Macaca fascicularis: one gene and its partners. The protein of the gene in region 3 binds, or shares a complex with, the protein of the main gene of each other region. Links are inferred from orthologs where the notes say so. Each region holds a gene or a part of one and is shown on either strand. Other genes may lie near its edges. The genes, in order: NUP160, NUP205 and E3 SUMO-protein ligase RanBP2.

What was found.
Region 1: E3 SUMO-protein ligase RanBP2 (region 3) and NUP160 share a complex: the UniProt entries of both Homo sapiens proteins name them as parts of the nuclear pore complex. The link is inferred for Macaca fascicularis from reciprocal best matches to the Homo sapiens genes RANBP2 and NUP160.
Region 2: E3 SUMO-protein ligase RanBP2 (region 3) and NUP205 share a complex: the UniProt entries of both Homo sapiens proteins name them as parts of the nuclear pore complex. The link is inferred for Macaca fascicularis from reciprocal best matches to the Homo sapiens genes RANBP2 and NUP205.

Annotation. Positions count from the first base shown.
Region 1 is NC_088388.1:18,019,232-18,022,888, forward strand, and holds part of NUP160 (nuclear pore complex protein Nup160), read left to right. Parts: intron 1-701; coding exon 702-801; intron 802-1,066; coding exon 1,067-1,232; exon of another isoform or gene 1,233-1,247; intron 1,248-1,684; coding exon 1,685-1,812; intron 1,813-1,889; coding exon 1,890-2,050; intron 2,051-3,657. UniProt on the Homo sapiens protein: Functions as a component of the nuclear pore complex (NPC). Involved in poly(A)+ RNA transport.
Region 2 is NC_088377.1:177,292,106-177,295,762, forward strand, and holds part of NUP205 (nuclear pore complex protein Nup205), read left to right. Parts: intron 1-76; coding exon 77-234; intron 235-589; coding exon 590-670; intron 671-1,402; coding exon 1,403-1,594; intron 1,595-2,364; coding exon 2,365-2,632; intron 2,633-2,731; coding exon 2,732-2,830; intron 2,831-3,657. UniProt on the Homo sapiens protein: Plays a role in the nuclear pore complex (NPC) assembly and/or maintenance. May anchor NUP62 and other nucleoporins, but not NUP153 and TPR, to the NPC.
Region 3 is NC_088387.1:16,275,538-16,278,336, forward strand, and holds part of E3 SUMO-protein ligase RanBP2, read left to right. Parts: intron 1-1,719; coding exon 1,720-1,880; intron 1,881-2,573; coding exon 2,574-2,799. UniProt on the Homo sapiens protein: E3 SUMO-protein ligase which facilitates SUMO1 and SUMO2 conjugation by UBE2I. Involved in transport factor (Ran-GTP, karyopherin)-mediated protein import via the F-G repeat-containing domain which acts as a docking site for substrates.

The DNA of each region.
Region 1 (3,657 bases), on a different chromosome or scaffold from region 3:
CAGGCATGCGCCACCACGCCTGGCTAATTTTGTATTTTTAGTGGAGATGGAGTTTCGCCATGTTGGCCAGGCTGGTCTCAAACTCCTGGCCTCAGGTGATCCGCCCGTCTTGGCCTCCAAAAGCCCAGGATCCAATTTAATATATATATTTAGTTACTGTGTCTCTTTTACTTACCCTCAAACTGTTATCTGCGTTTGTCTTTCATGAGAATGACATTATTTGAAGACTATGCTTGTTTTTTGTTTTTTGGGGTTTTTTTGTTTTTGTTTTTTTTGAGGCAGGATCTCGCTGTGTCACCCAGGCTGGAGTACAGTGGCACTCTTAAGGCTCACTGCAGCCTCAACCTCCCAGGCTCAAGTGATCCTCCCACCTCAGCTTCCCTAGTAGCTAGAACTAAAGCTACCTGCCACCACACTTGGCTAATTTTTTTTTTTTTTTTTTAAGAGATGGGGTTTCATCATGATATCCAGGCTGGTCTTGAACTCCTGGGGTCAAGTGATCCTCCTACCTCAGCCTCCCAAACTGCTGGGATCACAGGTGTGAGCCACTGTGCCCTGCCAAGACTACACCTATTGTTTTATAGAGTGTATTGCAACTTGGGTTTGTCTCGTGTTTCCTCGTGATAAGATGCACATCTCAATTATTTTATACCTTTAAACTTTTACTGAAAAAAATGTAACTGGAAAATTTGTTTTCCCAGGGGTACCTGTCTTTCCTTATTCCCTCCTCCTTAGTGGATCATTTATATCTCCTGCCTTATGAGAACCTTTTGACAGAAGATGAGACAACCATATCTGATGGTAATAGTAATTGTTATGTCCATATTTAATCCCCTTCCTACATAAACCCTATGCTTCGTTTCACATGGATACAAAAAATATTGATTGCCACACCTGTCTTGGTCACTTTACCACACCACAAATATTTTAATGAACACTTAAGGACCAAAGCATCTCTGAGACCTCAGATAGATATCTTGTCATTTAATTATTAACATTTTAATGTAGTAGCAATCAATAGATAGTCATTGGCTTAAGACATAAATTAACTTTCTCTTATTTGTAGATGTGGATATCGCTCGGGATGTCATATGTCTTATAAAATGCCTCCGGCTGATTGGAGAGTCAGTAACTATGGATATGTCAGTTATTATGGAAATGAGTTGTTATAACCTACAGTCTCCGGAAAAGGCTGCAGAGCAGATTCTGGAAGATTTGATCACTATTGATGTGTAAGGAGAATTAGGGTAAAGTGCATTTCCTAATGGAAATTCAGCATTTTTAGCTGCGAAGTTGGGATTTTAATGTATGTTCCAGAGTGTACAAAGTAGTAGCTTAAAGTCAAACTGATGTGCCATGATTCTAAATACATATTTCTACTTTTAACAGAAAATTTAACACATGACTTGAAGTCTGGAAATAGACTTGTAAAATATGCTTTAACAATTAACTGAGCTAAAAATTCTAAAAAACAAAAATATTCTTCTCACATTTGTTTTGTGTGTTGTTCATGAAAAACTGAGGAAATTTGCTATGTATAGGGACTGTATCTTGTATGCCAGAGTGATTATCTTCATTCCTTTATCTGGTTCTCTTGTTTCATAATGTATTTAGCTTATAGGACATATAGAACTTGTCTTACGTATTCTCGGTAGTAATAAGAGTTTTGTAATTGTCCTTATAGAGAAAATGTAATGGAGGATATTTGTAGTAAACTGCAAGAGATTAGGAACCCAATCCATGCAATTGGACTCCTTATACGGGAAATGGATTATGAAACAGAAGTGGAAATGGAAAAGGGATTCAATCCAGGTAAATGACAGAACAACAAATGTGCCTCTTTGATTAAAACAATGATGCATTCAACTCCACTTTTCTTCTTTTTACAGCTCAGCCTTTGAATATTAGAATGAATCTTTCCCAGCTCTATGGTAGTAGCACAGCAGGGTATATTGTGTGCAGAGGTGTGCATAAAATCGCCAGTACTCGTTTCCTGATCTGCCGAGATCTTTTGATCTTACAGCAGCTGTTAATGAGGCTTGGAGATGCCGTAAGTACTGCTTGAGGGAAAACTTGTAAAATCTAAAACCTGGTATAAGCCTACAAGCACTTAGGAGCAAAATGTCAGCCCTACTAGCACAGATACTTTTGTCTTGGTTTACTGCTTTAGTCCCCCAAGCTTGGCCTTACGAGGTGCTCTATCAATATTTTTGAATTAAGAATGAATAAGCATTGTAATCCTTGTGAGATTATAGATTAAGAGCATGTATGGAGGGGATTGTGGGGAGGGAGAACATCAGAAAGAATAGCTGATGGATCCTGGGCCTAATACTTAGGTGATGGGTTGATGTGCAGCAAGCCATCATGGCACACGTTTACCTACGTGACAAACCTGCACATCCTGCATGTGTACCCTGGAACTTAAGAGTTGATTAAAAGAAACATATATGAAGCAGATTGCTTTACTCTTAACCTTTGTATGTGTAGTAGTGGAAAATTATCCCAGGTTGGCTCTCCCAAAATGTAGTTTTATTAGTAACTATGAATGTGGTAAGAGTAATCTTTAGTATGGAGGAAGAAAAAGAAAACTTTTTTTTTTCCTCTCTCTCTTTTTTTTTTTTTGAGACAGTCTTTCTTTGTCGCCCAGGCTGGAGTGCGGTGGCCTTATCTCAGCTCAAGCAATTCTCCTGCCTCAGCTTCCTGAGTAGCTGGGATTACAGGTGTGTGCCACTGCACCCGGCTAATTTTTGTATTTTTAGTAGAAACGGGGTTTTGCCATTTTGGCCAGGCTGGTCTTGAACTCCTGACCTCAGGTGATCCACCCACCTCGGCCTCCCAAAGTGCTGGGATTACAGGCGTGAGCCACCTCACCTGGCCTAAGAACTCTCTACAGTGCAAGGCTTACCCTAAACACAGTTTTGAGATGCAAGTTTATCTTTGTGGTCCTCCTAACTCCATTCTGTGCTTTCTTTTTCATTCTGTTCTTCTTAGACCACCAGACTCTTGTTACTAATATATAGTCCTAATCACCCACCCTACTGAATGTCCCATGCTAAGAAATTATTTTTCTGCCCACAGTCAGACGTCCTATTTTTTTTCTAAGTCAGTAATATCATTTGAGCCTATCAAGGAAGCAGTCTAGTTAAACCAATTCATATTAATGTGTAAATAGCCAAAAGTCCTTTGGGGCTCCCATTTTAATTCCGACTTAAAATGTATAAATGTACTTATACATTTTAAGTCAGAATGTATTAATTCAGGCCAGGCACAGTGGCTGACACCTGTAATCCTAGCACTTTGGGAGGCTAAGGTGGGCAGATCACTGGAGGCCAGGAGTTCAAGACCAGCCTGGCCAACATGGCAAACTCCATCTCTATTAAAACAAAAAAGTTAACAGGGTCTAGTGGCACACTCCTGTAATCCCAGCCATTTAGGAGGCTAAGGCATGAGAATTACTTGAACGCAAGAGGCAGAGTTTGCAGTGAGGCGAGATTGCACCACTGCACTCCAGCTTGGGTGACAGAGCGAGACTGTCTCCAAATAAAAGAAAGAACTTATTAACCTAGATACATTGCTTATGGTAGAATTTCAAGCAAGAGTAAGAAAAAGGCCAGATGTAGTGCCTGTAATCCCAGCACTTTGGGAGGCCGAAGTGGG
Region 2 (3,657 bases), on a different chromosome or scaffold from region 3:
AAATCAACTGAATATGATGGTTTGCCCTTCCTTTCGATGTCCCAAGTAAAATCAAATTACTTTTTGTTATTTCTAGTACGTCGAAAAATTCTAAATATTCTTGACTCGATTGACTTCAGTCAGGAGATCCCTGAGCCTTTGCAGTTGGATTTTTTTGATCGGACCCAGATTGAACAAGTTATTGCTAACTGTGAACACAAGAATTTACGGGGACAGACAGTCTGCAATGTCAAGGTGAGGGTTGCTTTAAAGTACATATCTGCAGTGTCAAGTGGCTCAGACCTTAAGTCATCAGAAACAAATAGAACCATACAGGTTTTCTTTCTGATAGAGACATTGGTTTACTAGTTTATAGGAAGGACTATGGTTTTTGTAAAATATCCCTGAAATAAATCTTAATGTATCACACTAACTTCTTGAAAAGGGATACTTAATATTTTGGCCTGGAAAGTGGACGTTGCTCTAGTTAGATTATATATAAAGGTATCTGACGCCTTTCCCTTTAGGGCAGTTTATGATAATTGCTAGGTGTTATTGTTCTACCAGTGTCTGAAATGTCTTATTTTTCTTTCTTTTCCTAATTATCCAGCTTCTTCATAGGGTTCTTGTAGCTGAAGTAAATGCCCTTCAGGGTATGGCAGCCATAGGACAGAGACCTCTACTCATGGAGGTAAGCTCTATTGAGTATGTGTTCGTTTCAACCTTTTAACTACTTAGGTTGCTGGTGAAAAGACTAAAATAGTATATTAACGTGTAGTTTGCTAATTAGTAAGCTACCTAAAAATTAAACATTTAGGGAGTCTTTCACTTTTGATTTTATAACTTTTATAAGCTGAACTATCTGGTATGCCGAAATAAATAACACCTTTTCTGCTAGACTAGTTAAGGATTTGCAGCCTGACCATATTTCGTATTATACCTCACTTGGTCCCCGTCAGTGAGAGAGGAGGGTCATTTGTCATCACAAGTGGAAAGTTACAGGTAAGAGGTCAGATGGGAAGAACCACATGCATGGAGACATAGCTGGCCAGGCCAAAGCAAGAGGCAAAGAAATAAAAGAGATGTCAGGGAAACATGCCATTGAACTTGGAGTTTAAATAATTCTAGTGCTCTAGAGTAAGCAAGTATAAGTAGATAGGTACAAGGAGAAAGAAGATAGTGTCAAAAAATACAAATTTATCTATGCCACCTCTGTCCCCTACCTTTCATGCACATACACACACACACATACACACCTTATATATTAGTATTTTTATAGCCCTGGCTACTGAAATAATATGAAAAGATATCTGCTTCGTGGCATGCATGTAGTAGGTTTCCAAATAGATATTTTCTGAGTAACTGACAGATAACTGACCTTATTTGCCTGTTTAACCTTGTGATTCCATTCCTGTGGCTTTAGGAAATCAGCACTGTACTTCAGTATGTGGTAGGAAGAAATAAATTGCTGCAGTGTCTTCATGCAAAACGTCACGCTCTGGAGTCGTGGAGGCAACTGGTAGAAATTATACTGACAGCTTGTCCCCAGGACCTCATTCAGGCAGAGGATCGACAACTGATTATTCGTGATATTTTACAAGACGTGCATGATAAGGTGACATACTTCCTAAATTACTTTATACTGCTGAACAAATATGTATCATTTAAACGAATAAATTTTGGCACCCCAATTGTTTTCCATTTTTGATTAGGAATAAAATAGAATTGCACAATACCAACATTAAGACTTTCCTTGAGAAAGGGATTAATTCTGTACAGTAGTGACTGTCAACCAGAGTGTGTGTCCGAATTATCTAGGGAGCTTTGTAAAAGTTAACATGGACAGAGCCCACCCCAGACCTACTGAATGTAATGGTGAGACCATTTATGTGAATTTCAAAAAGAAAACCTCCTTAGGGAATTCTGATAGGAATCCCTTCTGGTTAAGAACACCCATTACCTAGCATCATATTTAAATTTCTCTGTATATATTAGATTTTTTTCTTTCTTTTCTTTTTTTTTTTTTGACTAATTTCTGTATTCCATTCTTATATTGTTGTCACAGTTGACAAACTAAATATATATAAAACTTGTTAATGGGCTGTATGCAGTGATTCATGCCTGTAATCCCAGAACTTTGAGAGGCCAAGGTGGGAGGATCGCTTGAGCCCAGGAGTTTGAGACCAATCTCCTGAGGTGGGAAGACCACCTGAGCCCAAGAGGTCAAGGCCGAAGTGAGCTGAGATTATGCTACTGCACTCCAGCCTGGGTGACAGAGCGGGACCCTATCTTAAAAAAAAAAAAAAAAAAAAAAAAGCTGTGAAACTTGTTAATGATTATAGCTGAAAGCAGGATTCTCACTCTGATTTGCCCTTGTCCTTTAAGATACTGGATGATGAAGCAGCGCAGGAGTTAATGCCTGTAGTCGCTGGGGCAGTGTTCACACTGACTGCTCACCTGAGCCAGGCCGTCCTCACCGAACAGAAGCAAACATCAGTCTTGGGACCAGCAGATGCCCATTACGCTTTTATGCTTGATAGTTCCTTCACCTCACCTCCTCCAGAAGAGAACCCATTAGTGGGTTTTGCTTCTATTGGAGATTCTTCACTTTACATCATATTGAAGAAACTGTTAGACTTCATTTTGAAGACAGGTTTTTTTCATCTAAAATTTCTATAAATTCTATCCATTGTATTTGTTTTAACTTTAATTGAGAAAAGATTTTCATTTGACATCTTCCTAATCTCCCTAGGTGGTGGATTCCAGCGAGTGAGGACTCACTTGTATGGCTCTCTGCTTTATTACTTACAGATTGCCCAGAGACCTGATGAGCCAGACACCTTAGAAGCAGGTAGAATGAGATCAATTCCTAATCTTTTCTGGATTGGGAGATGGTTACTTTAAACTGAAAAAAAAAAAAATCACTTCTCCATCTTTTGACTAATCACAACTGTAATAAATGAGTGTTGGTGTCATTTTTTAAAGCATTTACTCAAAAGTTGAGGGAGAATGTTTAGTTTTTAAGAATTATGAAGTAATACTTGAATACTGCTTTTAAAAAAACCTTCAAATAATACTTTAGGTTTATATACTTCTGTAACTCCCTCACTTGCCTCAAGTCCCACTGAGCAGTATGCTCTACATAGAATGGCCCAACGTCTTTCTTTCCTTTGTGCTACATCAGAGTACATATCTAGTTGATTCTTTTAAAATATCTCTTCCTGGCGTGGTGGCTCACGCCTGTAATCCTAGCACTTTGGGAGACCGAGGCCGGTGGATCACCTGAGGTCAGGAGTTCGAGACCAGCTTGGCCAACATCATGAAGCCCCATCTCTACTAAAAATCAAAAAATTAGCGGCCACGGTGGCTGGCATCTGTAATCCCAGCTACTCGGGAGGCTGAAGCAGGAGAATCGCTTGAACCCAGGAGGCGGAGGTTGCCCAGATCATGCCACTGCACTCCAGCCTGGGCAACAAGAGTGAAACTCCATCTCAAAAAAAAAAAAAAAAAAAAGCCACAAAAAGTCTTTGTTATTCCATGATATGGATGAAACACTTATTTAGCCATTTTCCTTATTCATAGGCATTTCAATTGTTTCTAAATTTTTATTACAAAAATGCTACATCAATTTTTTTTATATGCCTATATTTCTCAGAAAGGATGCTGCTTAATGGTAGA
Region 3 (2,799 bases):
AAATCCTTCTTAAAGAGAGTTTTTTATTGTGTTCTTTAAGATACTGAGTTATGGACCCTGTGACATTTTTTCTTTCTTATGAGTTTTTAGCAGAAGGTGTAGGGTTCTTTAAGACAGTGATTCAGCAAGTGATGAAAAGTTGAGAGGTGTTTCTTTCCTCTAAGATAGTGGGGACTTGGTCATCTAAATTGAGGTGTGGGATGGAGAAGTTTCTAGTTCTCACCTTCTTGCAGGTATGCAAGAGAGAGACCATCATTGTTCCCCCACACAGAAGTAGAATGTTTAACAGTCTAATACCCTTTGGGCAGTTGAAGTCAGTGAGGTTCCCCCAAGGCTGCTATCCACCAGCCCAGCCAAGAAATCTACATTCCAGCACTAGCTTCTTCAGGAAGAAGTAGAGATGCAGAAATTATAAACATGTTTAGGCTATTGTGGCTAATTTGGAAGTAGCAGGTTTGGCCTGCTGAGCTAAGTTTACAAAATTTCAAGGTGAATACTTGAAATTTTAGAAGTAGATAAAGAACTTAACTTCTTTACTGGAAGTCCTTGTGTAGTTTAGTATTATGAAGTTTATCCAAGGCAGTGACAGTGTTATCTTTGTATCTCTAAGCATAAACAATAACAAATGTATTCTGTACTCCCAGTATGAAGTTTTTTTTTTTTTTTTTTTTTTTTTTTTGGTGACAGTCTTGCTCTGTCACCCAGGCTGGAATACAATGGCATGATCTCTGCTCATTGCAACCTCTGCCACCAAAGTTCAAGTGATTCTCCTGCCTTAGCCTCCTGAGTAGCTGGGATTACAGGCACCCGCCACCACGCCCGGCTAATTTTTTTTTTTGTAAGACAGAGTCTTGCTGTTGCCCAGGCTGGAGTGCAGTGGGGTGATATTGGATCACTGCAACCTCTGCCTCTCAAGTTCAAGCGATTCTTCTGCCCCAGCCCTCCTGAGTAGCTGGGATTACAGTCACCCATAACCACACACCGCTAACTTTTTTTTTTTTTTTTTTTTTTAAAGACAGAATCTTGCTCTGTTGCCTAGGCTGGACTGCAGTGGGGCGATCTCGGCTCACTGCAACCTCCACCTCTCAGGTTCAAGCGATTCTTCTGCTTCAGCCTCCCAAGTAGCTAGGACCACAGGCGCATACCACCACGCCTGGCTTTTTTTTTTTTTTTTTGAGACGGAGTTTCCCTCTTACTGCCCAGGCTAGAGTACAGTGGCGCCATCTCGGCTCACTGCAACCTCTGCGTCCTGGGTTCAAGTGATTCTCCTGCCTTAGCCTCCTGAGTAGCTGGGATTACAGGCATGTGCCACCATGCCCAGCTAATTTTGTATTTTTAGTAGAGATGGGGTTTCTCCATGTTGGTCAGATTGGTTTCGAACTCCTGACTTCAGGCGATCCGCTCACCTTCGCCTCCCAAAGTGCTGGGATTACAGGCATGAGCCACTGCGCCCGGCCTAATTTTTGTATTATTAGAAGAGATAGGGTTTCACCATGTTGGCTATGGTTTGGTCTGGAACCCCTGACCTCAGATGACCTTGGCCTCCCAAAGTGCTGGGATTACAGGTGTGAGGAATTTACTAGAATAATATAGTTTTAAACATTTAAAATTGATGTACATATTACATCATCGGGAATTAGAAGGATTGATAAAATAAGAGGGGGATGAAAAATGTAAAAAATAGATACCAGTGTTTAAATATCTTGATTTATTCATCAGATAAAAATTTCCAATGGGCAAATACTGGAGCGGCTGTGTTTGGAACACAGTCAGTTGGAACCCAGTCAATTGGTAAAGTTGGTGAAGATGAAGATGGTAGTGATGAAGAAGTAGTTCATAATGAAGATATCCATTTTGAACCAATAGTGTCACTACCAGAGGTAAATGTTAAGGGATTAAACTTTTACTAATAACTTATTTTTCATTTTTAAGTTTAAAACTTACCCTGGCTTGATCTGTCAGGATATCATTGTTTGCATTTAAGAATGTTTACAGTTTGAAATGGAAGCTCTATTTATTAGATGTCTAGCCTTTAAGTATAAATTATCTTTTTGCAGTTTTTACATAAATATTGGTTTATAAATTCTATATGTAATTGTTGGGAAGAAATAATTTTTTCGTATGTTTCTAGAATATCATGTTTGTTTTTATAACATGATTCTGGGGAAAAATTAACCTCATACGAAAGTCCTTTCAATAAACATTAATCTGTGTTTTTTGGACAAGAACATTGTTCTAGGAAAATTATTTTGTCATTTTTAACCTCAGTATCTTATATATTTCTCTTCAGTAGCAGACACTTTTGAAACCTCTGTTCCTATAAAGAAAAGCATTTAATTTCCAAAGGGAAAATGAATACTATATAAAAGAAAATATTTAATGACAAATCAGGTCTTTACTCCCTCAGCCACATCAGATGTATTCCTAGCCCTAAGATATATAACCAATTATTATATTAACAAATTCTCTTTGTCATCACAAAGAAAATGCCTTAAAAGAATTTGGATCTTTGAAATTTGTCATGGAATTTATTATAAGCAGCAGCTTATAGAGTATTTCATCTCCTATTATAGGTAGAAGTAAAATCTGGAGAAGAAGATGAAGAAATTTTGTTTAAAGAGAGAGCCAAACTTTATAGATGGGATCGGGATGTCAGTCAGTGGAAGGAACGTGGTGTTGGAGATATAAAGATTCTTTGGCATACAATGAAGAACTATTACCGGATCCTTATGAGAAGAGACCAGGTTTTTAAAGTGTGTGCAAACCACGTTATTACTAAAACAATGGAATTAAAGCCCT